Arabidopsis thaliana: one gene and its partners. The protein of the gene in region 1 interacts with the protein of each later gene in a pairwise test. Each region holds a gene or a part of one and is shown in the gene's direction. Other genes may lie near its edges. The genes, in order: MYB62, SPL4, AT2G28920 and MC1.

Evidence for each region.
Region 2: the proteins of MYB62 (region 1) and SPL4 interact in a two-hybrid assay, tested with the Arabidopsis thaliana proteins (one large-scale study listed by BioGRID).
Region 3: the proteins of MYB62 (region 1) and AT2G28920 interact in a two-hybrid assay, tested with the Arabidopsis thaliana proteins (one large-scale study listed by BioGRID).
Region 4: the proteins of MYB62 (region 1) and MC1 interact in a two-hybrid assay, tested with the Arabidopsis thaliana proteins (one large-scale study listed by BioGRID).

The regions. Positions count from the first base shown.
Region 1 is NC_003070.9:25,599,269-25,606,948, forward strand, and holds MYB62 (myb domain protein 62), read left to right. Parts: upstream 1-4,407; 5' UTR 4,408-4,573; coding exon 4,574-4,727; intron 4,728-4,815; coding exon 4,816-4,945; intron 4,946-5,039; coding exon 5,040-5,616; 3' UTR 5,617-5,913; downstream 5,914-7,680. Other genes in the region: AE7 (MIP18 family protein (DUF59)), read left to right, coding at 544-685, 1,116-1,209, 1,294-1,393, 1,720-1,765, 1,874-1,971. UniProt on the Arabidopsis thaliana protein: Transcription repressor of phosphate (Pi) starvation-induced genes. Negatively regulates Pi starvation responses via the repression of gibberellic acid (GA) biosynthesis and signaling.
Region 2 is NC_003070.9:19,801,761-19,809,459, forward strand, and holds SPL4 (squamosa promoter binding protein-like 4), read left to right. Parts: upstream 1-4,502; 5' UTR 4,503-4,717; coding exon 4,718-5,016; intron 5,017-5,094; coding exon 5,095-5,320; 3' UTR 5,321-5,582; coding exon of another isoform or gene 5,583-5,630; 3' UTR 5,631-5,945; downstream 5,946-7,699. Other genes in the region: DRP5A (Dynamin related protein 5A), read left to right, coding at 1-411, 495-681. UniProt on the Arabidopsis thaliana protein: Trans-acting factor that binds specifically to the consensus nucleotide sequence 5'-TNCGTACAA-3' of AP1 promoter. Promotes both vegetative phase change and flowering.
Region 3 is NC_003071.7:12,413,824-12,420,634, forward strand, and holds AT2G28920 (RING/U-box superfamily protein), read left to right. Parts: upstream 1-4,193; coding exon 4,194-4,631; 3' UTR 4,632-4,753; downstream 4,754-6,811. Other genes in the region: OEP16-1 (outer plastid envelope protein 16-1), read right to left, coding at 600-746, 826-893, 971-1,004, 1,101-1,132, 1,384-1,435, 1,523-1,636; CXIP4 (CAX interacting protein 4), read right to left, coding at 2,169-3,167.
Region 4 is NC_003070.9:408,604-416,685, forward strand, and holds MC1 (metacaspase 1), read left to right. Parts: upstream 1-3,060; 5' UTR 3,061-3,279; coding exon 3,280-3,655; intron 3,656-3,856; coding exon 3,857-4,187; intron 4,188-4,279; coding exon 4,280-4,400; intron 4,401-4,476; coding exon 4,477-4,692; intron 4,693-4,763; coding exon 4,764-4,823; 3' UTR 4,824-4,951; downstream 4,952-8,082. Other genes in the region: AT1G02150 (Tetratricopeptide repeat (TPR)-like superfamily protein), read left to right, coding at 176-535, 616-1,830; AT1G02160 (Cox19 family protein (CHCH motif)), read left to right, coding at 2,200-2,290, 2,574-2,758; AT1G02180 (ferredoxin-like protein), read right to left, coding at 5,016-5,614, 5,821-5,902; AT1G02190 (Fatty acid hydroxylase superfamily), read left to right, coding at 6,551-7,067, 7,139-7,358, 7,442-7,832. UniProt on the Arabidopsis thaliana protein: Cysteine protease that cleaves specifically after arginine or lysine residues. Does not cleave caspase-specific substrates. Acts as a positive regulator of cell death.

The DNA.
Region 1 (7,680 bases):
TTCTTCTCTGTGATCGCTCCGATGACTTGGTGATTTGATTTCTCTTCTTTGAGAAAAGTCAGAATGATGACGTGTCGATTGTGTAGAGGAAGGCACGAGGTTCTTCTGGAGATTTTGAATTATTCGATGGGCCTGATCCAATTTCGGGTTTCTTGTATCAGGTCCAGAGAAAGCCTATAACCTCGTTGTTCTTATTGGCTCATCGGATTCCAAATTGGCGGCGAGGTTACACAGACCTACTCCTCAAATCCTTAACGTACTCGTAAGCCCATATCCGATTTTTCTTTTCCTGTAAATTTAAATTTTCTTACAAATTTCTCAAAATCGCAAAATCTTTGCCTCTTTCTTCTCTAATCGAACTAAATCTTAAAACTTTGCTGATTGATTGATTTTCGATTCCGGTATGTATCTTTCTTTAGTTTTCAATTCGCTGCTTGCTTCTTCCCTGGGAATTTTAGGGTTTTTAGGGTTTTGTAATTTCCGATTGAAAAGTTTCGTGCTTTACGAGTCTCTGTAACTCAATTTTTGGCAGGGAGAAGAAAAATGGTATCTGGGTTGATTAATGAGAACCCTATCATTTACCCAAAGAAAGAGAGGCGTCTTCGTACTGATACAAGCATTACTGATGAGCTTACACCAGAACCAATTGATCAACTTGAGATTTTTGATATCCTTTCTTCATCAAGTTTTCTTAGAACTACTCTAATTGCAAACCTTAATTGGTGAATTGGTTTGATTGTGTGTGATTGTGAGGATGTGATTATCGTCTTACAGCTATTAGCATCTGAAATTAAGAGTAGCTAGTGTATGCATAGGTTTTGGAACAACTTGACATGCCTCTTAGCTTGAAGTTTGCTTCTTTACACTATTAGAAGTCATGAATCTTTTGTTCTCATATGCATATCTTTTCGAAGTAGGTGTTGGAACCATTTGACATGCTTCTTAGCTTAAAGCCTACCTATGAATCTTTTGTTCTCGAATGCTAAATTTCTTGTAATTATGCGTGGTATCGGTTTGGTAATCTGTGAACAAATGGAATCTATGTTTTAGTTGATACAGAATGATATTGGATTATTTCTGTTGTTTTCTTTAACAATACACAAATCATATAAGAGATATCAAAGATCCAGAGCATCCTAATACTCTGGAAGATCTCAGAGTAGTTACAGAAGACTCAGTTGAAGTGGATGATGAGAACAGTTATGTTAGGTAAAATGTTGGGATTGAACGTTTTGTTATGGATTTTTAGTGTTCCTTTGAGCCAATCTGTTGAGCTCTACCATTTCTTTTCAGGGTTACGTTCACTCCAACTGTCGAACATTGTAGCATGGCAACCGTTATCGGTCTTTGTGTCCGTGTGAAACTTCTACGAAGCCTTCCTTCTCGATACAAGGTACAAAGCTTTCTTGTTATTTCATTTCTAAGATTTTCCGGTTCCCTTTTCCTGTAAGTTTGTCAAGATGATCTTCTGAGCCCATTTTCTGATTTATACATTATCGAGAGTGGTTTGAACGTAACTGAGATCCAACACATGTTCTCCTTGTGATGATATATGAGGCAGAGAAATTTTTTAATTTTTCATTCTTAATCAACTGTTCTTGATACTTGCGAAGAGAAGATAGCCCTAGCCTCTACTATATATAGTTAGGACTGCCTTAAAACACACTCGCACAATGTTTTATGTGCCTCAGTCCTCTGAAACGAATCTTCATTTTTCAGATTGATATAAGGGTAGCACCTGGTTCTCATGCAACAGAAGATGCATGTATGTCATTTTTCAATATCTATCCATCTTTTTTGGTATGCATGTTTTGCTTTACATCGAGTGTACTTCTTTAACATGATGTCTGGTTTCTTGGTGTTTAAAATGCAGTGAATAAACAACTAAACGATAAAGAACGTGTGGCGGCTGCACTAGAGAATCCAAACCTCGTGGAGATGGTTGATGAATGCCTGCCATCAGAAGAGTGAATTGCTTTTATTTTCTTGTGAGCAAGTAATTTACACAAGCCTGGTGGTCTCAGTTTACACTATCAATACATGTCTCTGTTTTATTTGCAAAGATTTTGATCCATCACATCGACTAGGACTTGCATTGTAATACTTACTCTGATTTCAAGTTTGTTCTCAATCATTTCAATAAAGTCTCAAACACAAGTTCTTTTTAATAAAAGTTGACGTGTCATTTCGATTTCAAAGTACATATACATCAATCAAGTTGGGAACTTCACATCTCTCTCTCTCTTAATGCATTATTACAAAGTCAGCAAATTGTTTATGAAGCAAAAAGCTGTTTTCTTCTTCTTCTTCTTAGATGTATTGATATATGAAAAAGGAAACAACGATAATGAGATGGATATTTTTGGAAAGGATATGTAAACTTGAAACACACACTTTCTTTTTGTGTCCCAACTTATCTTTAGGTTTTCGATTATCCAGAGTATATGATGTTTATTGTTTCGTTGTATAATGTATGGGACTCGAATCATACTTTAACAAGAATCTTGTATATAGCAACTTGGTCTCAAGATCAACCTAGTTGCATAACTTGTAACCCTCCGATAGAATCTTGCAATCATATATATCTTGTAGATGTTGACGAACTCGAGAATCGGGTAACAATCAATCATCTTCTTTTGTAGTCTCGTGATTTGATTATTGTCGTCGTTAATTGTTATGCTATAAGTAGAGTTTAAATTTGAAAATATGCGTATGTGAGTTGTAGACGACAAAAAATATTTAAATTTGTTTACGTTAGTCCAATTATATGGATAATATTTGAAGGAAATGAATGTAACTGTAATTCTATAGAACAAAAATGACTGTTACTAATAACATAGTAACAATTATGTCATTGTTGATTATATAATAAGAGAGGATAATGAAGACACAAATGTCAAATCGACTTTGTTTTCTTTATTCCTGGTCTTTAGGCTTTATTTACATGTTGTTTTGGTTTTTGGGAGTTATCATCTTCAAAAGATTGGGTTGAACAGTAAGTGAGAGTTATTAGCAATACCATAAGTTTTAATACATGCACATAGACATTTTTTGACTTGCCGGTGTAAAGCGACACGACCCTTCCTTATTTTTCCAAAATTATTATTTGTTTAACAAAATATTATACAATACGATTTGAGCTAATGAAAACTAATATAGGAAGAAGAATCTTTGAATATTCAAAGTTTGAAAGGATAATATGCTATACTAAGTCCGCATAAATTAGCTGGCTTCTAGAAAATTGTTGTTAAAAATAGCTGTCTTCTAGTTTTACCATTTACATAAAAGTTACAAGAATTTATATCATTCATTACACCATATGTAATATATGGATATGAATTCGGATGATGCCACATCGACCACAATAGCTCAAAGCTACTAAACAAAAAGTCTTGACTCTTGATCAAACATTTGGAGTGTTTATTCCAATTTTTGGATTGTTTTGGTACAATTTTTATTTAATCAATAATTTGTGGGACAGTGGTTTATTAGGTTTTGTAATATCTTGTTTGTCTCGAGTCAAGACACATGTATCATGTATGCTTCTTGTTCCCATACCAATAATTATGTTAAACTATGTTCAATCTCAATATTCAGCAACATTACCAAATAGAAAACCAAAATTTTTATAAAAACTGTTAGCCAAAGTTGGGATAAAGACAATTTTAGAAGTAGAAGAAAGAAAAATGACTAGTATACACTATCACAGAGGTAAGAGTTAAAAATGAACTCTATAGCATATTATGAATATGACTATTGTAAACTTTTCCTGTATAGTTAATTTAGTATTTAAGAATCTAAATCGTACTTTCTTCTTCCAAAATTCTGTTCCATATTCTTTTCACGTGAACATCTAATCCATAGAGTTAAATCACCAAAATTCCATTTCTGTTTCATCGTCGCATAAAAAAGTTTATGAAACTGTATCGATATATTCTATGCTTCTAATGAATTATATACTTGGACCAGGGTTCATCGCAGGATTCGACTAATCCAAAACTTTTTTTTTTAAGAAAGTCATATTTAACTGAAACAAAAACCAGATGATTTAAAAAAAAAATGTTTGCATATATCATATATGTGTTGGCTTTTGAACAATGGTAGCTCGAAAAATAATTTCAGAAAAATTGCATGCGTAAGATGAAAACAGAGACGCGATTAAGAAAATGTCAATGAGATATTTTGTGATAACAAATACTAATGAGTTAAAACATGTTTTTTGACAATTTTAGAATGTATAAATGTCCTTGGCAATGTTAAAAAAATAACAATATTTTGTATGAGTTAAAAAGAGAAGCTAATTTAGTAAAACAATTTACTTTAATTTGGAAACGTGTGATAATTAATTTTTCATTGGAAAAAAGCAAGCTGATGGCTAAAGTAACAACATTTTCCAATACCACGACCACGAGTCTATAAATTCCCAAGAACCTGTTGAATCACTTTCACTTCTCAAAGCACCTAAAAGTCTATCTCTCTCTCTCTGTATACAGTCATGCATGCATAGAGCTTAAAAGATACGAAAACACCACAAACCAAATATCATTAAGTAATTAGGAAACTTAAACTAAGTATGGAAAATTCGATGAAGAAGAAGAAGAGCTTCAAAGAAAGTGAAGATGAAGAACTAAGAAGAGGGCCTTGGACTTTGGAGGAAGACACACTTCTCACAAATTACATCCTCCATAACGGTGAGGGTCGTTGGAATCACGTCGCCAAATGTGCTGGTAATTAATCAAGAACTTGATATTGGTTTATTAGTTAGATTCTCTGACTTTACTATATAATCACTATCTTTAACAAAAATGAGAACAGGGCTAAAGAGAACTGGGAAAAGTTGTAGATTGAGATGGTTGAATTACTTGAAACCCGACATAAGACGAGGGAATCTTACTCCTCAAGAACAGCTTTTGATCCTTGAGCTTCACTCTAAATGGGGTAATAGGTGAGTGATGAGTCACTTTCATATCTCAAGAGTCTTTTATTTTCTTTTTTTGTTTTTTTTTTCTTTTTTCCTAAACGAATATTTGTTATCTAAGGTGGTCCAAGATTGCACAGTACTTGCCAGGAAGAACGGATAACGAGATCAAGAACTATTGGAGAACAAGAGTTCAAAAACAAGCTCGTCAACTCAACATCGAATCTAACAGCGACAAGTTCTTTGACGCTGTTCGTAGTTTTTGGGTCCCTAGATTGATCGAGAAGATGGAACAAAACTCATCCACTACTACTACTTATTGTTGTCCCCAAAACAACAACAACAACTCTCTTCTTCTTCCTTCTCAATCTCACGACTCTTTAAGTATGCAAAAAGATATAGATTACTCGGGTTTCAGCAACATAGACGGTTCTTCTTCAACTTCTACTTGCATGTCTCATCTAACAACAGTTCCACACTTTATGGATCAAAGCAACACCAATATCATCGATGGCTCGATGTGTTTCCATGAAGGCAATGTTCAAGAATTCGGAGGATATGTTCCTGGCATGGAGGATTACATGGTAAACTCGGACATCTCAATGGAATGTCACGTGGCGGATGGTTATTCAGCGTACGAGGATGTTACACAAGATCCCATGTGGAATGTGGATGACATTTGGCAGTTTAGGGAGTAATTAAGTCGTCAAGAGATGAGATGGTAGAGCCTACCACTACGGTTCTATTATATGGACTAATATACTTCTTTTGCTTAACTAAGCAAAAAGTTTCGAACCTTTTACCCATATTATCTCGGGTTGGAGACTAGAACATGTTAAATTTGTATCTTCTTTGTTGCGAGTACTTACTAAGTCATTGGATAAATATTTATAATGATAGTTTCTTGTACAAGTCTTTGAATTCATGAAATCTTTTATCAATGTATGGAATTTTATGAAGTTTTAAACTTTAATCATATTCTTTTCGGATTGGAATTGAAACATGTTAAATTAGTCTAAATTTTTCCTCTTAGTTGGTGATCAAAGTCAATGTTTGGATAATTATTTATAATGCTTGTTTGTTTGTTATATAAGTCTTTAAATTCAAGAAATCTTGTATCAGTGTATGGAACTTCAATTTATGAACTAACCAGGTCAATTTTATACATGACTAGACTTAAGAGTAAATAGTAAAGGGTAGTCTCTTGTCTTGAAATCTTTGAGACTTGTGTGGATTTTAGTGAGAAGAAAACATATCTAATCTCACCTCAACAGGTGAAATAACCCAAAAGCTAGGAGAGTCGATCTATCCAAGATATTAAAATGATGGGGATAGAGACTCAACCATCTGTCCCTTCACCAAATTTGATGTGTTTCTTTGTAAGATCGTTGACAATATTACAGGGCATTTGGCTTGATTGACATAAATCGTTTTTTTGTGGAATTAACGAATCATAAATAATAATAAAAGAATTGATTACATAGTTGAATGCTCTTACATAAAGTTTTAATATATACGCATTTAGACAAACCATACAAAAGTTTTAATATATGCGCATTTTGTATACCAGCAGTAATCAATGTTGGTTCAAGAAGATAATAGAGACAAAGGACCCATCAATTATTTATTATAATTATCTGAAAAGAGCTTCAACTAAAATGATAGAGAAAGGTGGCTTTGGAGAAGTCTTGTTAATGGGATCGAATTATTGGAGGTCACTTCAAAAGCCTTTCATAAGTACATGGAAACTCCACAATGATTTGAACCCAAAGGGTACCACTAAAAGTTGGAACAAACATTGATGCACTTTTGAGAGGTTATGAACGATAGATCACACTCATTGTGTATGTAAAGATTTTAGTATTTCAGACAATATACAAAAAAAAAAAAAAAAAAAATTCCTTATGATCGAATCCAGAAACGTAGATGGTCCTGCTATGGACGTGGAATTATAAAATTGTATAACTTAAAGATTAAATATCTAAAACTGGTGGATAAACGCCAAATACTTTTAGAAAAGACATGAGTAACGTGGACCCAATTTGAATAGAAACATTACTGTATAGGTCAAATATTCATTAATTACGGATATATGTTAGTTGCAAAAAAATTTCAAATTTTGTAAGAACATAATCCACGCGGCCAAATCATTTGCATCTTCAAAATTCATTTCCAATGACAATGATCTATATATTGTGGAATTTTAATTGCATAAAATCATATATATTTTGAAAAATGTTTTTAGTCAAGTAGTTAAGTGTCTATTTTTGCGGTTTTCTCCAGTTACCCTTACCCACACAAAATAAAAAGTGGGCTATCGATCGGACCTTCTCGACTGATATGGTATTAGAGTGAAACCAAAAAAAATCATATTTTCCCAACTTAACAAGCACATTTATTTTAATCACTGTAATCGAAATTCTCATGTTCAAAAAATTTTTGGGAAACAAATAAAGTGAAGTCATGTTTGGTCTACATATCACCAAGCTTAATCTTTATATTGTCTGAATAGTTTATATATCTGCGGATTGGTCGACCATACAACCAGGCAGATAGTGAGACCAAACCTTGATCTTAAAATAGGCAAGTTCAATTTAAAGTGTCGTAGAACTGTATGGCTTGTTAAGGTCGAGATGGGCCAAACTAACATTTCTACTGCAATACTCATTTATCAAAAATTTGGAGATACGCAGAAATATCAAAAGTTATGAACCGAAATCGATAGTTCCATCGGTTGAACCCGAAAAGAACATCAGGGAGAA
Region 2 (7,699 bases), 5.8 Mb from region 1:
CAGCCGTGATGAGCCAATGAAAGACCAAGAAAACATTCCTCCTGAGAAGAACAATGGCCAAGAGACAACACCAGGAAAAGGAGGGGAAAGCCACATAACAGTCCCTGAGACTCCTTCACCGGACCAACCATGTGAAATAGTGTATGGTTTGGTAAAGAAAGAAATTGGAAATGGTCCTGATGGTGTTGGAGCTAGAAAAAGAATGGCGAGAATGGTTGGAAACAGGAACATAGAGCCATTTAGAGTTCAGAATGGTGGGCTTATGTTTGCTAATGCAGATAACGGAATGAAATCAAGCTCTGCTTACTCTGAGATATGTTCATCAGCCGCACAACATTTTGCTAGAATTCGCGAAGTGCTTGTCGAAAGAAGCGTAACATCAACTCTAAACTCAGGATTTCTAACTCCTTGGTGAGTTTTCTATTGATGAATGTCCTTAGTTTCTTAGTAGAGGAAGGAAACATTTTGATTTGATATTCTGTTTGTTTTTGCAGCCGAGACAGACTAGTGGTGGCACTTGGATTGGATCTATTTGCAGTGAATGACGACAAGTTCATGGACATGTTCGTTGCTCCTGGAGCCATTGTGGTACTACAAAACGAACGCCAACAGCTTCAGAAACGTCAAAAGATTCTTCAATCTTGCTTGACTGAGTTTAAAACGGTGGCTCGTTCTCTATAATGAAATGAACGATCATTGTCTCTATGATGTGTTCTCTTCTCATGTAACATGGCTGGTGTTTTATTCCCAATTTCAACGTACGATAATTTTCTTGAAACGTCAAATTGTTCTTGTATAAGCTCAGTTCTGCTTCATTGATTGGAAAAGTTTGTCACAATCGAGTATACTAACCAATTGAACCAGAATCGTTAACCATAACCGAGAACCGACTTAACTAATCCGGAAACTTGGTTATTACACTGAATTCCATACAGGGCCAAATGATGTTCCTTATACAGGAAAGCCGATAAAGATATGGGATTCGGGAGAATATGTAAAACATGAGAATTGAAGGAGGGCTCTGTTAGAAATATATGGGTTTATCTGTAATTTGTAATCGTATAGGAGATATATGTAAATAAACAAACATATAAAAAGAAAAAAAAAATGGTGAAAAACAAGAAAAAAACAAAAAGATTTGGTGAAACTTGATGGCGTAACGAGACACAACATAACATAATAGTAAGTGTCCACATGCATAAATCCAGATGTTCCTCCATGTCACTCATCATCGAGCTCATTATATTATTGTTTTCTTCTTCTTTTTTCCTTAAAATGTTAGAAATAAATTGGTTACAAGATGTTTTAGACGTCTGTCTAATTAATATTTTTAAGCATCGATTAATGTATTTATTATTTTTCAGTTTTTTTTAAAAAACATCATTTAATTATAAGAAAAAAAAAAATCAAATCCCGTATCAAAATTAATTTCAAATTGAATTATCATAGGGGGATTTTTGATAAGGTTTTTCCGAAACATTCGATTAGCGTATAGCGGAATTTTGAACATCGGATAAATACAAGATGGCGTTTTGGAATATATTCTATTTAAATTTAAATTTGTTTTTGTCAAGTGTAAATATTTATGACGTAAGAAATGAGAATGCAAATGGATATAGTTTTGTTGGTGTATGTAAAAGAGATAGCTGGATCGCATAGTTAGATATATGAAAGAATCTGAGAAGAAGATTTGTTCCGTTGAAATTCCTATAAACGAAGAGACAAATCTCATTCCTCGTGTGATCGAAAGTAATAATATAGCTTTTGGCACTCACAGGAATCGATTCGAAATCTGTTGGTACTACTTCCAAAACTTTATTTTCACAAGCATACACAAAGATGCTCTAGTATTGTTGAAGATTACTACTCTAGCAATGTTGTGGATAGTGGACCAAAAGTTAATGGACCAATATTCAGATATTTGGTTTTATTTTTTTGTTTTCTATATTGAAGGTTAATTAATAAGTATGATTATCACGGTTATTCAGGGCCGGTCCAGAGGTCACATAAACCAATCAACGATTAGGGCTCAAAAAATTATAGGTTATTGAAAGTTAAACTTTGTTTTGTTTTTGTTCTGATTTTTTGACTTAAATTTTATGAAACTTTCTCACGTTCTTTTCACTTATAAGCTTATTACATTCAAAAATGATTACAAAAATTATAATTTTGACTTTTGAGTAAGGCCTGCCATAAATTTGTAACCGGTTCTGGGATTATTATTAGCATGAGTAATTCATGTATAATGTATTCGACTCATTTAGAATAAACATTATAAAAAATATAAATATGCACCTAAACTAGAAATCTTTAATAGTTTGATCTAAATGATTATACACGTTGTAGAGAAGTAATATAATATTTACGCATATATAGTTTTAAATACCTTAAAATGTTTTCGAATAAAAATATTAACTAGCCATATAATCCATGCAAATCTTGATGATATATGTCTTGAACAAATTCTATTAACTGGCTAGTTGTATATTATAACCCATGCAAATCTTGATACGTGGCAAAACATAAATTTGACAAAATTGATCACTGAGCTCGACAAATCATATAATTTGGATTCTAAAACCAAAGGCATCTTAAAAAAAAAATCAATGGAGGTGTGTAGCTACGGACAAGGTCCTACGGATAGTTACGTCCGTTTTGTTTGCTAACGTAAAAAGAGCGACGCGGGGGAACGAAGTAAGTAAATGCAGAATATGAATAAAGGAAAGAATCCAACATTTGTAAAAGTTTTAATGCGAACAAATTAGTATCATCCATAATACTCTTATCACTCAGATTGAAAGATTTTTTTTTATATAAAAAAAACTGTTTTTAATATATATTCTTCTTCTCGTGGATCATATACATATGTAAAGTTTCCAGGTCACAATTTGGAATCACCTTTTTTGTTAGATAGTCCAAAACTTGAATATCAACCTTTTACTTGAGATGATTCCAAGAGTACCACTTTTATTTACACTAACAAAAACTTTCAAGTTCCAACATATTATAACATTCCAAGAAGTGAATCATTGTTATCACTTGTTTTTACCCATAGGTTATGTAAGTTACTTATGACACAAATTTTACAATTGCACATATATAAGAGAGATGTGACACATGGACAGTCACAACTCACAAACAGAAAACAAAGGAAACAATTGTAAATCGAAACCGAATTGTTATAATGTTTAATGAATATAGAAATGTGTGATTTAATTTGTTTATTACATCTCAATCTAATTCTGGTTTGAAAATCAACCTAAATAAATCTTTCAGGAACAACCCAAACCGGAAACTCATAGGGACAAAGTTTATTCAGTTATGCAAAAAAAAAAAAAAAGGCAGCTTTTGGCTTTGGAAAAGCTAAGTTGCGTCAGGCAAGGTAAGGCAAGGTAAGGCAAGGCAGAAAGTCAGAGAGAGTACAATGTCGCATGTGAAACCTTTGTGTCTTGTCTCTTTCACTACCCACTAATTCTAGTACTTCAGAAACAATAAGACAACAACACTGTAAAATGTTTAAGGAAAATTACACACTTGAGTAAATCAGTGAACTTATCTGTTTCCTGCTTTGTTGGTTCTTTTTACCTATTCAACTCAAAGATTCAAAGTTACTTTCATTTGTTTCACTGACTATTCACAGAGAGTTAATTATGATGATGCCAGTGGAATCTGTCAGTGATTGCTTCTCCACACAACACACTGTAAAAAAGAAAGGAAGGTAAAAGTGAGAGGCTTTTATTACTTTCATGGTGATAACAAGTAAAAGAAAAACATGCATTAGAACTCACAACAAATCTCTGTCTTAAAATGGTTCCAGATATCTATTGCATCAACACTTTAATTAAAGTAAGTGATCTCATTTGTTCTATTTCCATCTTTCAATCTGTAATTCCTCCACTTCTACATAGAATCTTTATATAAGCAATAGTGATAATAATAAATGTTAACACAAGAAAGAAATCAAAAGGGTTAGATCGTATATAAGCATCTACTCTATTCGTTTGTTTGTCCTGGTCCATACACGTGATAATTATCCATGTCTAAAAAACAATATATATCAAACAAAAAAACAGTGATCAGATCCTAAGTTACGGTAAATGCATTTCCAATAAGAGTCTACCAAAAGAAGACCTCAAGGTTGCAAGCAAACGAATTCAATAGTCACATCAATTTATTAGGAGTACTTTTTGTTTTGTTCCTAAACAACAAAAAGATTGTTATGAGTTTAAGCCTATGTGTAAATTATGGACCTTGATGTACTATTGCACACAGTGGCAGGCCAATAAAGACTTCCTCTTAAAGGCAACCAATGATATCATCATGGTAAAAAAGATCTTAAATTTGAAACAAATTTTCAGATTGAACTTCAAACACTAAACTAGGAAAACTGATCTTTAGTTTTCATATTACTATCAATTATTTCTTGAATCTAAATCAAACAAACTAATGAAAATGTTTTTAATACTTATCTATGTAAATCTCTTTTTCTTTCTTTCCCAAACTTTAATTTTTATTTTTCTGAGCTAGCACATCAACGTAATCATGCACTTATTCCACCAGAGAAACGTACAAGAACACAGTGGTCCATCTCCCGACTTTACTTCACCTTTTAAACCCTTCAATTTCGTCAACAATATCATCAAGTCCCATTCCTCAAACATTGCTTAACCTATTAGAGTTTCCTTCCTCCAACAAACCATCTTTATAAGACTCCAAAATGGAGGGTAAGAGATCACAAGGACAAGGTTACATGAAAAAGAAGTCTTACCTTGTGGAAGAAGATATGGAGACTGATACGGATGAAGAAGAGGAAGTAGGTAGGGATAGAGTTAGAGGGTCTAGAGGTAGCATCAATCGTGGTGGCTCGTTGCGGCTTTGCCAAGTAGATAGATGCACAGCTGATATGAAAGAGGCAAAACTGTATCACCGGAGACACAAAGTGTGTGAAGTTCATGCAAAGGCATCTTCTGTCTTTCTCTCAGGACTTAACCAACGCTTTTGTCAACAATGCAGTAGGTAACGTACAACCTAATTTACCCTTCAAAAAACTTTTTGTCTGGATCTTTGAATGGTTTTTTTGAGTTCTTGAAACAGGTTTCATGACCTCCAAGAGTTTGATGAAGCTAAGAGAAGTTGCAGGAGGCGCTTAGCTGGACACAATGAGCGAAGAAGGAAGAGCTCTGGTGAGAGTACTTATGGAGAAGGATCAGGTCGGAGAGGAATCAATGGTCAGGTGGTGATGCAGAATCAAGAAAGATCAAGGGTAGAGATGACACTTCCTATGCCAAACTCATCATTCAAGCGACCACAGATTAGATAGAGAAGCTGTCTGCTCTCTCTCTTCTGTCATCTAAACTTCTCTCTTAGAATCCTAAAATTGTGGTATCTAACAATGTTATAGAGAAATAAATAACTACCACTCTCTCTAGTACTCTCTAATGTTATCAGCTATATGCAAACGCTAAGACTATACTTGAACCTTGAGTGTTATCTTGTATGTTTCAAAGATATGGCTAATGATATGTGTAATACTTCTACCTAGTCGATGTGTGAATGCTAACTGGTAAACGTTTTGAATACAGATACGAGTAAGGAGTGTGACTTATCCAAAAGCACAGGGAAACTACTAACCAAAAGCCACGGTCACTCTGAAGTTTCAGAGCCACGAAGGAGATATATCATCCTAGCTTTTCCTTGCCAACATAGTAGTAGAATAGAATATTTGAATAAACACCTACCATTATTAGTAAATCGTTGAGAGTAGATTATAGTGGAAGCAAACCTTTCAGGGTCCATCACTTGCTATGATGAGAGACTCCTTAGACGTCATCAATAATTATCTTATTCCCTTGGCATGCATGACCAGTTTGCAACATTACCTGATTTTGAATCAGAAATACATATGACTATACTAAAGTTAGAGATAACAGGATTAATTATTAAACAAGAAAAAATGTGACTTTTGAGATGTTCTCAAACAAATTTGGAGCACAACTGCACAAGTAATTGGAAATGAATGTAATTTGCAACCGACCTAATCATCCTCTGCTATGATCTTTACAACCAATAATCGTAGCAACTTTAAATTCTAACAAGTTTTAACATTTAAGTGAAAGATTTTACATGAATTATCAGATTAACCCCCAACATCTATTACTACTCCAAATTCCTAATAACTACTCTTAGAGAAACATCATGTTAAACCTAAGATCCTATCAAATGAACCGATTCTCATGAACTAAACAACAAAGAGGCAAAGAAAGACGAACTAAATGCGCCGATTCAAGTAGTAACGAGTGGTTTTAGACCTTGACGGATTCTTTCCTGGAGAGATTTCACTAGGTAGAATTTTTAAGGGAATGTTCCATTATAAGGCACTTATAACAAAAGTTTGGACGTTTGGGACACTTTTGAGTGAGTGAGCACTTTTCCACCTTTTTTTATTGATTTTGTGACCAATTTACCCTTTACAAACGTGAGAAGGAAAAAAAACTGTAGATGAGTTAATTTTGTTGCCAATTACTAAAAGCAATATACGTGGCATTAGATGGAGATAACAAGTTAAAAATTAATTGTCAAATCTGTAAAAATTTAGTTTAATCAAATATTGTATCAAATAAAAAAATTTAAGCCTAAGTAATATTATATATTCCCAACAAATATCAGATTTTAAACTATGTTCTTAATTATGCATCCAATATATATTGTCCACGTAAACATATCCAAACAGTTCGCATTATATATAATGCTTTAAATCAAATAAAAATATTTAAGCCTAAGTAGTATTATACATTCCCAACAAATATCATATATTAAACTATATTCCTAATTATGTATCCAATATATATTGTCCACGTAAACATTATATGAAATGCTTGAAATCAAATAAAAATATTTTAGCTTAAGTAGTATTATATATGCCGAACAAATATCAGATATTAAACTATGTTCCTAATTACGTATTAACGTATCCAATATATATTGTCCACATAAACTTATCCAAACAATTCATTTTATATATATCAATACAAGGTCCATCAACAAACTTTTTTTTAGAATATGAGACAATATCGTTGACACAAGCAAATGGTTTGTGGTGTGTAAACCTTATACCCTTAAGGCTCTGCACTAAAGCCTACATTCCTTACCCTAAAATTAAACCCAAACCCTCAATTCCTAATACTTATCCACTAAATCCAAAATCGTAAAACAAAACTCTAAACCATAAAATATATTGTAAGCATAAACAAGAAAGTGATAATTTTACTGAGAGATAAAACAAATTCACAGCAAATCAAAGATAACATGTGTCCATTGATGATCGTCCAACAGGTTTAGTCCATGTGGTCATCTAATGACTCACGGGGTCGTTTCATTTCAATACACAAGTTTATATATGAACGATAATCGCCAGAATCAGATTCGATGGGAAAAAAAACGAAAACTTTTGGAATAATTCAAATCGTAAAAATGTGATCTTTACGAAATTCGACCAATATCAATTGCAGATCTAGATGCTAAACATAAAAAACAATGAAAAAAGGAAACAATTTTTTTTAATCAATTTCTTATATCAAATTGATACCCAGAATTAACTGGAGAACGAATCTAAGATATAAGTAAAGATTTGAAGAAATGTAAGATGGAGCATTGGAGATAATGACATAAATCAAAGACATGAACACATGTGCTTAGTGTG
Region 3 (6,811 bases), on another chromosome or scaffold:
AAGTTTTTGTTGAATTGTCATTGGAGTCATGTCGTTGAGTAGGTTAACATAATTATTTTACGGCGTTAATGTCTCGTTTATCTCCTTTGTTAGAACAAAACAACATTGTTTATTGCAACTCGTTTTGTCCGTTAAAACAAATTTAAACCCTAAATCCCCAAATCGATTTCAATATCTGCGATTTTGAGGTCAAAGTAAGTCTGTGATTTTGAGATAATGAAATCGATTTGAGAATTTAAGGTTTCTATTTGTTTCAAAAGACAAAGCGACGTCGTTTTATTTTTTGGGCAAAGACTTAATTACTCTCTCTCTTTAACTATAGTGATAGTTGCTAAATACACATCGGACAACTCGTTATGGTTGAGTATACACATTAGAGAGTTTTATAGAAACCACAAAATCATTACTACTCTCTATACAAATTTTCATATTTCGAGGCATTTCTCATATTGAAAATAGCTAAATTGCATATTTAACGTCAACAATACTCGAATGTATTCATTTCAAAAACACTACATTGTTTTTTATTATTATTTAAAGAGTAAACAAAGGAATCCACACCATATGAACCAAATTGGTCCCTAAAGGAAGATGGAGAATCAGTAGAAATAATGATTGTTAACGAACTGAGAAGCGGTTGCAAGCGCGCCACCAAGAATGGCATCGATCACAATAGTGTCTTTGCCTTTCTTACCAACCGCTGAGAGCACTGCTCCTGTCGCCGCGCCTGCTAACATTGCGTTTTTCTGATACAAACAACTCAACCAATTAGTTCTACAAAACTGTAAGAATTGAAAAGAGTGTGAAAATGTATTAGTAGTATACCCAATCTCTGCTGCCACGGATACGTTCGATTCCGTATTCTGTTCCAATGTACACTCCACCAGCAGCTCCTGATCATATTCATATGCCACAAACTTTAGACTTTTCTTAATCACTCAAAAATGAGATAAATTAGAAAGCAACTTACCCCAGTAAACACCTTCTTTACACAACTTCTTAAGCTGCAACAATATTCAACAAAAATTTCAGAAACTTAAAAAAAGATTACACATGTCTTCAAACCAAAACACATAGATTTGATTCAGTAGTGTACTCACCGCATGCTCCAAAGTGCTCTTGGAGAGACTCCCTACAATATATGAACCATGGAGTAAAAAATGATATTTTGCAGCTCCAACAAACAAAGGTAATTAATGATAAGCACAAAAACAGATCCATCAAAGGTGTGTGCTAGTTGTTCTATATATATACAATACATTCTTCTATGCCTTTACTAATTCATCAACATCACCAAAAACACAACAGTAAAGTTACATAATAAAACTAGACAGAACAAGAACTAACACTTATGTGTTGTGTTTGATAAAGTTAAGGGCTTACCTTTGTCGATGGCCTTGTAAGTGTCTTCTGCAAGAGATTTAGTGACTCCAACCTAAAACCCATCAAAGAAGAAAACAACAATGAGAAACAGATCACAAATTAACAAAATGATCCATCAAAAAGAGATGAGTTTTTTTACAGCTCCGATCTTGAGGAAGGCATCAACGGTGAGATTGAGAAAAGGGTTTCCCATGTCCACTGCCACCGACAGCTTCGGCGTGCTAACAGTCCCGGAGAATGTGCTTGAAGGCATCTTTTCTTCTTCTTTCTTCCTCTGTTTTTGGTTTTGGGATATTTTTCTCTTTGATCTTTGCTTGTTCTGTAACAAGTTCACCTATTTCTTGGGATATAAAGGGGCTTTTAACGGTGGATATTTTAAACTATGGTTCAACGGTGGAGAAGAGATTAACAAGGACCCACGACGAGATATGTATTGAGCAATGAGCCAGTTAAATGACGACATTGTCCTCCTAGGCTAGAGCCATGCCAAAAATCCAACCCACAAGTCTCGTGATCTCTTTACAACGACACTTGCCGACGTGAGCTCTAACTTGCCGACGTAAATAATGGAATAGAGTAAAAAGACACAAATTAACACCAAGTATCTCAATAGTGTTATAACACAAGCTTGAAACAAACAGACCAAACCAGAGTATGGAGAGTGAAAATACAAAGACATGTTTCAACACAAATCAAATCCAACATACAAAGACATGTTTCATTATTGTACATAACATTGATAAGAGAGAAATGGAGAGTGAAAATGGCTCATATAGATCGATTTCCTACTCTCGCTCTTTCCTGTGATGACGTTTCCTGCTCTTCTTCTCAGACCGCTTAGAAGAACCACGTCCAACGCGTGAAACATCATCGCCTGAAACATTTGCTTCTGAGTCAGAAGAAGCTGCGACTTTGTTCCTCCGCTTCTGTCTTCTATCATCTTCAGAAGACTCTGAATCAGAATCATCAGAATGATTACGACGGCTTCTCCTTCTCCTCTTCTCCTTTCTACTCTTTCTCTTCACACGTCTGTCATCTTCATCCTCAGACTCATCAGAATCATCTTCATCTCTCTTTCTTCCTCTCCTCTCCTTTCTTCTCTTACTCCTTCCCTCTTCCTCATCCTCAGACTCACTCAAACTCCTTCTCTTATGCGAACTCCGCTTCTTCATCGACCTCCGCCTTCTCTTCCTATCTCCAGAATCCGAATCAGAATCAGACTCATCAGAAACACGCTTCTTCTTCTTCCTAACCGAACTCGTCTTCTTAACACTACTCCCACCTTTCTTCTTCCCAAACCTCTCAGCAATAATCCTCTCCATCTCAGAATCAACATCAGAATCAGAACTCTCACTCTCCTCTTCCTCTTCACTACTCACCTCCTCAACCTCACCTTTACCAACACCTCTCCTAATCTTCTCCAACCCCGACAAAACCGCAGCTTCAATCGCACCAGGATCTTTCTCCTTATCCTCCTTAGTACTCAAGAAATTCCTACACTGAAACGTCAAATGCCCAACACGGCCACACTTCTTACAAGAACCACGAGCCTCATCGTTATTCGAACCCGTAATCCTAGCAAGAGCCAAAAGTCCCTGAAAACTCGCGTACGAGTTCTCGGGATCTTCGGTTTTCTGTTGTGTCGTCTTAGGCTCTTCTTTACTAGTTGGTGCATAAGGATCATAACCAATCGCACTCTGCCATATTCCATGAGTCTGAAGCGCTGCACTACTATGCACCCGATTGTTTGCGGGCATACGCACTCTTCCTGCTGTCGCCGGCATCTTTTCGAAACCCTAGAAAAAACCTTCACAAACCTAAACCAATAACAGAGAAATATAGATTGATTAATACCTAACCAAATCAATATCTTCTCCAAAATACAATTACACAGAAATTTCACAACCCAATGAAATTACCCAGATTAAGCTGAAATCTAGGGTTTCAAGCCCCAAATCATCAAAAGCTCACATACTAATTTGCCGATTAAAGGGATAGATCCTAAATGTGAAAGAAAAACTCAGAGATCCTAGGGTTCCAATCGATCCTAAAGAGAAAGAGAAGAGTAAATAGTTTACCTGATTCGAGTGAAGGAATCGTTAGGAAGAAGCGACGGAGAGAGATGGATGAAGAAAAGGTTCAAACTTTGTTCTTCGCCAATGGCCTCTGAGGCAAAAAGGAAAGATTGGAAAGTCTCGAGGGTATATTATAAAGATTGGGAAATAGTTGGAACCGCCCTTTAGCTTTTGTTATTTTACATTTATATCCTCCAAATTTTGTGTATTTCATCATTTTTAGTTTTGTCACATAATTCGGCTGGGCCTGGCTGCGTTGAGAGGGATTTGGGCTGGGCCTGGCTGAGTAGTTAATATGTGTTTTTCTTTTTTACTGCTGTAATCATCCATCATCAAATAGTAACTGAAACAAAAAAAACTCCAGATAAAAAACAAACAAAACTGCGCATTAGCTTAATTTAAATTTAGTTAGTTTTGTGTTATCTTCATGACAAATAATAAAATGAAATAAAAACTCATAACTTGTTTATGATTAACCTCCAATTAACAATTTTAATTAGCTCGAATATTCTCCTCTTAATCCTTCCCGCCACATTCCTCTCCGCATAACTATAACTAAATTGCGTTAATTCAGTTTTTCACCAGTTCATCACACACTAATCGTAATTAACACTATAACAAAAAAAAAAAAAATCCATATTTAAGAACATCACTATGCATCCCCACAATTCAATAAACTCAAATCAATTTCACAAAATTTTCCAATAAGCCAATTTAATTTCTTAAAATAAAAAAATGGCATCAAGTTGTTGTGGGGATTACGTGGCGGCGGCGTCACCGGAGATGTCGACAGTGATGGGATCAGAATCAATCGTGTTGAGACTTCTTTGCGTCGTCTTTATTATCCTCTTCTACGGTTCTATTATTCTCCTCTGTTTCGTAATGTACCCGAAGCTACCAAAGGAAGAAATCGGCGATGAGGAAGCCGGAGAGCCATTACCTCCCGCCGTGAGACTCACGAAATGCGGCGGTGGAGACGGCGGAGACGGTGACGGAGTTAAAGCTGACGTGTGTGTGATTTGTTTGGAGGATTTTAAAGTAAACGACGTCGTTAGAGTTCTTGTGAGATGCAAGCACGTGTTTCACGTGGATTGTATAGATTCGTGGTGTTTTTATAAGCTGACGTGTCCGATTTGTAGAGCTCCGTTTCAATGGTTTGGTGGTGATTGGTAGAGGGAGAAGAGAGCAGGTTTAGGGTTTAATGTTCGGTACGATCCGGTTTAATCCCAATTTCGATATTTTTACTGTCTTTGGGATTTAGAAATTTAAGAGGCGATCTTAAAGATTTCTCTCCGGGTATTTAAAACTGTGATGTATGTGTACATATTTATAGGAATGGACACTACCGATTACGGTTTTTTTTGTAACACTATACCGATCATGGTTTGGTTTCAAAATTTGCGGAAATCTAAATTTATGTTATTAATTTTAATAAGATCAAATTATAGAATAACACTTTAGGGTATGTTAATAATTTTATAAATTTTTTAGCCTTTTGTATATTATCGCAAAACTTTGAAGATAATACATGTTAATTTTATCGACTAACATACTTTTATTCAAATAAAATTATTATTCGGTCATTCAAAATATTAAAGTAGTTAACAATTATATGCATTATACTTACTTAGATAATTGTAGAAAATATAACTAATTAAACAATTTTATCTGGTTTCCGTATATCTTTACATTTTTTCTGTTGTTTGGTTTTAGATCTTATTTATTGGACAAGTGGAACTTCCTTTTCTTCGTCTCTCCTTTCGTTCTTCCTCTTCTTTCAAAAATTTCATTGTAGAGGGCAATGTGGAACTTTAATTCAGTTGATCAAAATAGAATTCTATGTGTACTAGTACTAGTACTAGGTATATGTATATGATTTGATGCTGCTTTTGAGGATAACAGAACATATGTTTTATAGGAGTCATCTTGAACTAACAACTTAATGTCGTAACTTATCAATAAATTAATTATCAACTTAATGTGGTAACTTATTAGAAGCACCTAAAGACTCAAAACAGTCTTATATTTGTTTTTCTATGTTTAGAATCTCAACTTTGAATATGTGAATTGTTTTCGTAAGATCTTTGCTTAAATTTTTGTCTAATTGTGGGTGATGATGTTGGTTTCGATGAGGTTAAGGATGACGAGTCTAATTGTGGGTGATGATGTTGGTTTTATGATTCTGATCAGGATGCTTCTGATGAAGGTGATATATATAACATTTCCGTTTATTGTGGATTTTGATTCTTTGCTTATTTCACAATAATCAAAATTATTTTTCTTTGTATTGTCCGAGTCGTTTGTTACATACCACATATGTCTCGTAGTGTTTTATGGGCCGAAGCCTATCCTCCACAATTGAGGCTACAAAGGCACAACTTTTATGGACCTTTAGTCCTTTAGTCTTTATTTTCGAGTTTGTTTTTGTATCATGAATTCTTCTTTCATTAGTCTTGTCTTCTTTTATTTTTTGCTAAAAACATTTTTTTACAAAAGAATTTGTTGTTCATTTTTGTTGATAAGATATGTCACATTAAAGGGAAAATTTGACAACTCTCTCTATACCTAACCTGCCTCTTAATAATTTCGATTTCGGCGTTGACTTTTGTGCAGACAAAACTAACAAAGTACATGTGAACCGTACGGAATAAGCATCATCATTTGAAGAGTCAAGCATCACTATATGTTCTACGGTGACATCATAACCCACTTTGACATTTGCTCCATCAATTTGTTTGACTTTTCATTACATTAATTTCTTTCTTTCTCTTCGTCAACACCTTCCTTGCTTCTAGATGAAATCACATTTGAAGCTTATACGTACAAAATCAATGTTCTAGTATGTTTTGTTGCGTTTGACGTGATGATCTAATTTTTAAAAAATTGACTTTTCATTGACCGAGAAAAAGAGAGAGAGTTTATTCATCCTCTATGAGAATAACCAGTAAATGTAGTCGGATGGTAGCTGGATCTGATATAATGGTGAATACTGAATAGAATCGTCTATTGGAGGAATTGAAAAATCAAATCTAGAAAAGTCTAATAACTTTGTCGGAAACATTTTGAATTAACCAATATATTTGTTAGGAGTTGTTATATACTAGTACGTCACAAGAAAAATCTAGCTTCGCATTAGTCAAATTTTTTGGTTAATGAAAATTAATCTTTGCAGGGTATACTCATAACAGTTGGATAGTTAAAAGAAAAAAAATGGCTAATATAGTTTCATGGGATTTTGACATTTTTGCAATTTTCTTACAAATGGATGCATTGATCAAAGTTATGCAATATTCGTATGTGGTAATATATATAAGCTGGTGTCGATAATTCCTACACATGCAATAGCTTTTTTT
Region 4 (8,082 bases), about 25 Mb from region 1:
AAATTCATCCAGAAGCATCATCGGCCTTTGGGCTTTGAGTTACGCGTCACAATTGAATCAATTGGTCCTTTTAATTAGTTTTACCAATATACCCCTCCGTCTTTTCCCCCTTCTCGTTTAGGAAAAAAAATCATTAGCTTCGACTTATCCGAAACCTAACGAGTAACGACGAGAGATGCTTCTTCAGGCGGCGGTGCAGAACCGCAATGTTCCACTGGCTTCTTCCGCCTCCTACTCTCGTCTCCTTCGCTGCAGATCTCCTGTCGTCTCCGTAGCTGCTCTCTCGAAGAAGACGGCAGCAATCGTGTGCTCCATCTCCCAGGTTTATGGCTACGGCACGGTGGACTACGAGAGAAGGCCGATTGTCCAGTGGAATGCCATCTACAAGAAGATTTCGCTGATGGAGAAGCCAGAGCTTGGCGCTGCTTCCGTCTTGAATCAGTGGGAGAAAGCCGGCCGCAAGCTTACCAAGTGGGAGCTCTGTCGGGTCGTCAAGGAGCTTCGCAAGTACAAGCGTGCCAACCAAGCTCTCGAGGTCCGTGTCCTCCTTGTATTTGCCCTCGCTTTATTTTGTATCTTTAACACTACTTACTTGATCGCGTATCGTTTTCATAGGTGTACGACTGGATGAACAACAGAGGCGAAAGGTTTCGGTTGTCTGCAAGTGATGCTGCAATCCAGCTCGACTTAATCGGCAAAGTGCGTGGCATTCCAGACGCCGAAGAGTTCTTCCTCCAGCTCCCTGAGAATTTTAAGGACCGGAGAGTTTATGGTTCCCTCCTCAATGCCTATGTGAGGGCCAAGTCGAGAGAAAAGGCTGAAGCCCTGCTCAACACCATGAGGGACAAAGGTTACGCCCTGCACCCGCTTCCCTTCAACGTCATGATGACTCTCTACATGAACCTCAGGGAGTATGACAAAGTCGACGCTATGGTCTTCGAGATGAAGCAGAAAGATATACGTCTCGACATTTACTCCTACAACATCTGGCTCTCCTCTTGCGGCTCCTTAGGATCAGTTGAGAAAATGGAACTAGTGTATCAGCAGATGAAATCGGATGTTTCCATTTATCCCAACTGGACCACGTTTAGCACAATGGCCACAATGTACATAAAGATGGGTGAAACTGAGAAAGCCGAAGATGCACTGAGGAAGGTTGAAGCAAGGATTACTGGTCGTAATCGCATTCCGTATCACTACCTCTTGAGTTTGTATGGCAGCCTTGGTAACAAGAAAGAGCTGTACCGAGTCTGGCACGTCTACAAATCTGTTGTCCCGAGCATTCCCAATTTGGGTTACCATGCCTTGGTCTCGTCGCTGGTGAGGATGGGAGACATTGAAGGGGCCGAGAAGGTATATGAGGAATGGCTTCCAGTCAAGTCTTCTTATGACCCCAGGATACCAAATCTTCTGATGAATGCGTATGTCAAAAACGACCAACTAGAGACAGCTGAGGGGTTGTTCGACCACATGGTTGAAATGGGAGGAAAACCAAGTTCAAGTACGTGGGAGATTCTAGCTGTTGGTCATACCAGAAAGAGGTGTATTTCAGAGGCTTTGACTTGTCTTAGAAATGCTTTTTCGGCTGAAGGGTCCAGCAATTGGAGGCCCAAGGTGTTGATGCTGTCTGGTTTCTTCAAGCTCTGTGAAGAGGAATCGGATGTTACCAGTAAAGAGGCCGTTTTGGAATTGTTAAGGCAGTCGGGGGATCTTGAAGACAAATCTTACCTAGCTCTTATTGATGTGGACGAAAACAGAACAGTAAACAACAGTGAAATCGATGCCCATGAGACCGATGCGCTTCTAACACAGCTACAAGATGATTTGTAATCTGATAGTCCTAGATCTTTGCTTTAAAAAACGAATCTTGTAACCGGAGTCAACTGAGGAAATGCGAAATATGTATAATGTACACAAGAGACTGCCTAGTGAAACATGAATGTAAGAGCTGTGTCCCTTTTTGTGACAGCTATTTGGAATTAGTGTTGCTTAGGGAACTGGATTAGCCTTTGTTCTCTTGTTTGATTGTTGTTACTTGTTAAGACTAATATTGGAGAGGTTAGGTTGTGCTCTTTTATTTTGGGCCGGACGGATAAAAGGCCCGATATTGAATATATAAGTCTGAGAGTCTCAAAGGCCCATCTCCATTAAGATATCTTCGCGGAATCGGTTGTGAGAGAGAGAGACGGTGATCGGGAAATGTCGACGAAAGGCGCGGCGGCGGCGTACCCTAGCGCGGCTCGGATATCTGATTCTCCATGTTATCTTCAGTACTCTGCTTCTCTCAAATGTGAGTCATGCTCCTGATCTCACCCTTTGTGATTGTTTCTTCGAGGATAGGATTTGACATGTTATCTTCAGTACTGTCAAGTTCCATAACGAATTAGCATTGATTAGATCTCATCTATTTCATTATGCTTCCTCAAGGTGATTAGATTAGTGGGTTGAATCCCATGTCAGTGATTCGATTTAGGTCCCATCAATTGATAACGTCGGGTTTGATTCCTGATTGTTTATGTGTTTCCGTTTTCATTAGTTATGCCTCTTAGCTTGACCCCTTGATTTCTTATCAGGTCTTGAAGAATTTGGATCAGACAAGAGTAAATGCCAGGATCATTTTGATGTGTACAAGGAATGCAAGAAGAAAGAGGTTGTTGTTGTGAATGAATATTTAGGCTTTTGGCGTTTCCAACTTCTTTGCTGCTTTACCTATGTGTTATTTTGTTTCTCAGAGGGAAGCTCGACTGGAACGCAATAAGACACGGTCGTTGTTCTCGTGAATGCAGATCCTCGAATACCAATGATGTCTCAGAACATCACCTAGCTAGTAGTATCCTGTTGTTTCATTTGCAATGGCTGTGTTTGTATGATCTATCTAAGTAAACAAGTGGAAAGTGTTTGTTAATGTTACTTTTTACTCCCCATTGGTGAATCATGGTGTATACCTGTTAAACTTTGAGAGCAAGTGGTTATTTATTTAGTTAGAGAGTTAGAGCTTCTCCACCACCATATTGAATAAGAAGATCTTTCTCTCATTCTTTTACTTTACTCTGGCGTCTGAAACAGATCCAGGGATTCCAGTAGTGAATTGGGCTTAAAAACTGTTATATGGGCTTTCGAAAGTAAAAGGTTCGGTGAGCTGCCAAAGAAAAGTCAGATGCCTTTAATCGCATTTGACGACGATTCTTTACGTGCGCCATTGACTGCATCGTCGTCTTCCTCACGCGATTTGGTAATCCGATTCGTCTTCATCTGATTCCCTCCCTTCCGAGAATAATAATGTACCCGCCACCTCCCTCAAGCATCTACGCTCCTCCGATGCTGGTGAATTGCTCCGGTTGCCGGACGCCTCTCCAGCTCCCATCCGGCGCCCGATCTATTCGCTGCGCTCTCTGCCAGGCTGTTACTCATATCGCCGACCCTCGCACCGCCCCTCCTCCGCAACCTTCCTCCGCCCCTTCTCCGCCTCCCCAAATCCACGCGCCTCCCGGTCAGCTGCCTCACCCCCATGGCAGGAAGAGGGCCGTGATCTGTGGCATCTCGTATCGTTTCTCTCGCCACGAGCTCAAAGGCTGCATCAACGACGCCAAGTGCATGCGTCACCTTCTCATCAACAAATTCAAATTCTCCCCAGATTCAATTCTCATGCTTACCGGTACAGAGTATTTCTATCTTTTCAAATGCCTATGTTTGCTACTATACTACTATTCCTTGGATTTTGAATACAATTTTCCTTGGCCTCTTCAATCTGATAAACACACATTCCAAGTTACCATTTCGAACCACTTTGATAAAAATGTGTTGCATTCCATAGCTGACTAACTAATTGTTCATCATGGATGGTTTTCATTCTCAGAGGAAGAAACTGATCCATATCGTATCCCGACCAAGCAAAACATGAGGATGGCATTGTATTGGCTCGTACAGGGATGCACAGCAGGCGACTCACTTGTCTTCCACTACTCTGGTCATGGTTCGCGTCAAAGAAACTACAACGGTGATGAAGTTGATGGCTATGATGAAACACTCTGTCCTCTGGATTTTGAAACTCAGGGGATGATTGTAGACGATGAGATCAACGCAACCATTGTACGCCCTCTTCCACATGGTGTCAAGCTCCATTCAATTATCGATGCTTGCCATAGTGGTACCGTTCTGGATTTACCCTTCCTATGCAGAATGAACAGGTTATTAGTCCCTCAACCGCTTCTAAAAGGGATGTTGCTTACCTCTCTCGTTATATTTAACATACATCCATTTTTTTTTTTAATTGAAACAGAGCTGGGCAGTATGTGTGGGAGGATCATCGGCCTAGGTCAGGTTTGTGGAAAGGAACTGCTGGTGGAGAAGCCATTTCAATTAGTGGATGTGATGATGATCAGACTTCGGCCGACACATCAGTAAGTAGAACGACTCTAATCATACGTCTTGCTGTTGTAGTTGGTTCCTCCTCTCATGATTAAAACACATACACAGGCGCTGTCGAAGATCACGTCTACGGGTGCTATGACTTTCTGTTTTATTCAAGCAATTGAACGCAGCGCACAAGGCACAACCTATGGAAGCCTTCTGAATTCTATGCGCACCACAATAAGGAATACAGGGAATGATGGTGGTGGTAGTGGTGGAGTTGTGACGACTGTGCTGAGCATGCTTCTGACAGGGGGAAGTGCGATTGGGGGATTAAGACAGGTAAAATTCTTTCTTGCTCTCTTGTGTTGATACAGATCGATAAATGTTTTCTTAAATCTGTTTTTTGACAGGAGCCTCAACTGACTGCTTGCCAAACATTCGATGTCTATGCAAAGCCTTTCACTCTCTAGTAAAGGACAAGTCACTTTTTATGTATAGCGAGTGTGATTTGAGAATCCGTCCATATAACCACCTTTTGTTTCTTATTTTTATTTTTCTTTCAAAAGAATAAAGGAAAACATTGATTTGGTGATTCGATAACAAAATGTGCCATCTATTCTTTAGTCTTTACAAACAAGCAGCAAATGGTTTGCCTTTCAGAATCAAAATTTAAGGTGTTTCTCGAATAGACAGAAGGAAGAGAAGAGAAGTCCCAGAAAGCTGTTCAGAAGGCGCATACAAATCATGTGTGCGTTGCTGCTGCAAGGAAAAGCACTTCCGCTGTAGCAGCCTGTTCTTTGTTTGATACCCCGGCCGTTATCTTCCAGTACAAAGGAGGAGTTTTTCACACCATCGCTAAAGAGAAGACACCAAAAGAAGGTACCTTTATGCAACCTAGCCATTCCCACTCCAACCTCGGTATGCGACCTGTTTCTGAGCACCGACAACGCACTGCTATCTCTAAAGAGAATGTCTGAGAAAGCGACTTCTGGTGCTGCATACTTAGAGCTGCAGCCGAGGATATGGCCAGTTATGGTACCAAAAGTGGGGAGTTCTACACCACAGTTTGGGGCAAACACCTGAGTGAAGTCGTCTTCAGGGTGTTCACAGCTGAGAGTGTTGTTGACATTGCAATTCCCCTCGCAGAGCTCAACATACTGGAGGGCCATGCAGCCAAGACCGGGACTCTCATTTAGTTTGCCTAGTTTCCGAGCTGTTCTGTTCTGGTTCAAGATGCTCACCATTTCATGAGCTGAGTTTCCTGCAACCATTCTAACTAACACTTAGTCCGCCTAAAACGAATCAACATAATATAAACTGTCGAATCTGGTTCTGACTAAAGAAAGCGAACTCGAGATTAAATCAGAGGGAGTGGCTGTAAATTCAAAATAAAGCCTGGCCAAATGCTGAACGAGAAATCCAAGTCTATATTCGCATATGTTATGAGGGGATAAAGCAAGGAGTTACCGTGCAATTTGGAGCTAGCTAGCACTGATGAGAGTGACAGAAACAGTAAAATCAACTCCAAAATGCTGATTTCGTTCTTCATATCGTGTTTTATCCTCTGAATTCCCAGCGTAATAGCTCGAGCTGGCGGATTTTCGAAAAATCGAGAAAAACAAAAAACAGAAAAGGAGAAAGTTTTTGAAAGGAGATGAGCTTGATGGAGATGTTGACTGGTCCCTGAATAAATGAAAAATGTGTTGCATTATTTCTATTATTGAGAAGAAAAAAACCAGGCATTTTGGTTATTGGGCTTTGATTTGATGTTGGGCTCTCAACCATTGAAATTGAATGAAGAAAGAAGGAAAGTACGTGACTTGAATTTCATTTACTTCATTAAATGGGCGGCGTTGGGGCCGGTGGAGGTGGGCCAATGACATTGATGTGTAAACAGAGGTAAAGCCGAATTTTGGCTAAGGCGAATCAATGCCCATTGGCTCCTCTCCTTACATATTTGAAGTTTGAGGTTTCCTTCCTTTTCTTAAATTAAATGTTGCTGTAACATTTCTACTATTGTAAACCGGGGCTCCACCACCATGTGCTTCTTCAACACTGTATCATCAGAGCCCACATGGTCATGCCTCTATATAATACTTTGTATTATTATTATTCTTATGTCACATTATAAACAAGTACCTCCAAATTGCACTTCCTTCAAACTTATTCGACAGTAGACTAGCTCAAGTACCTTTGGATGGCGTCGAGGCCCGGAGCTCTTACGGAGTGGCCATGGAGTCCCCTTGGTAGCTTCAAGTACCTCTTGGTGGCCCCGTTGGTGATGGCGAGCATGCACTCGTACGTGACGGCTGTGGATGAGGAGAAAGACCTCAGCAGACTTATGATAGTCGTGTTGATGCTGTGGAGAATAGTTCACAGCCAGATATGGATCAGCGTGTCTCGCCAGAGGACGGCTAAGGGAACGAACAAGATCGTGGACAAGCCCATTGAGTTTGAGCAAGTGGACCGAGAGCGCACTTGGGACGACCAAGTCATCTTCAACACTCTCCTCATGTATCTCGCAAACATCAAGCTCCCAGGCGCCTCCCACCTTCCCCCATGGAGGCTAGACGGGGCCATCCTCATGGCTCTACTTCACGCTGGTCCCGTCGAGTTTCTCTACTACTGGTTTCACAGAGCTCTCCACCACCATTTCCTCTACTCTCGCTACCATTCTCACCACCACTCCTCCATTGTCACCGAGCCCATCACGTGTACGTACCTTTATCCACCATTTGCTTCTATTCTATATACATTCATTCATATCTTTAATCAAACTTGGCAGCTGTGGTGCACCCCTTCGCCGAGCACATCGCCTACACACTACTCTTTGCCATACCTATGGTAACGGCGTCCCTGTGTGGGATCCTCTCCATCGTTTCCATCATGGGATACATTACTTACATTGACTTCATGAACAACATGGGACATTGCAACTTCGAGCTTTTCCCTAAGCGTCTCTTCCACCTCTTCCCTCCCCTCAAGTTCCTCTGTTACACCCCCTCGTACGTCGTTTGTAAAAACACTACTATTTATTTGGATTTGAATATATGCATGCATTTATAACATGGCATCAAATATGTTGAAGGTTTCACTCGCTCCACCACACGCAGTTCCGGACCAACTACTCTCTGTTCATGCCAATATACGACTTCATCTACGGGACGACTGATAATTTGACCGACTCACTATACGAGAGGTCGTTGGAGATAGAGGAAGAATCACCCGACGTCATCCACCTCACTCACCTCACCACACACAACTCCATCTACCAAATGCGCCTTGGTTTCCCGTCCCTCTCCTCTTGCCCCTTGTGGTCTCGACCCCCATGGTACCTCACATGCTTCATGTGGCCCTTCACTCTCCTCTGCTCATTTGCCCTCACTTCAGCTATCCCTTTGCGCACCTTTGTCTTTGAGCGAAACCGTCTCCGTGACCTCACCGTTCACTCTCACCTCCTTCCCAAGTTTTCCTTTCACGTAAGCATTTTACACGCATGCATATGCACTTTCCCTCTCTCTCGCTCTCTTGACACAAACGGGTTTACTTATTATGTTGTACTTCACACCACTATTTTCCAAACTTTCACACACAAAAAAAACATTGATTCTCACTTAACTTGTACGTACTACGTAGGAAGGACATAACCTTTTATACAAAAAGAAAATTAAAACAACCTAAAAATGAACAATGAACATTTTCTTGTGGGTATACCTTTTGTAAGTTGCA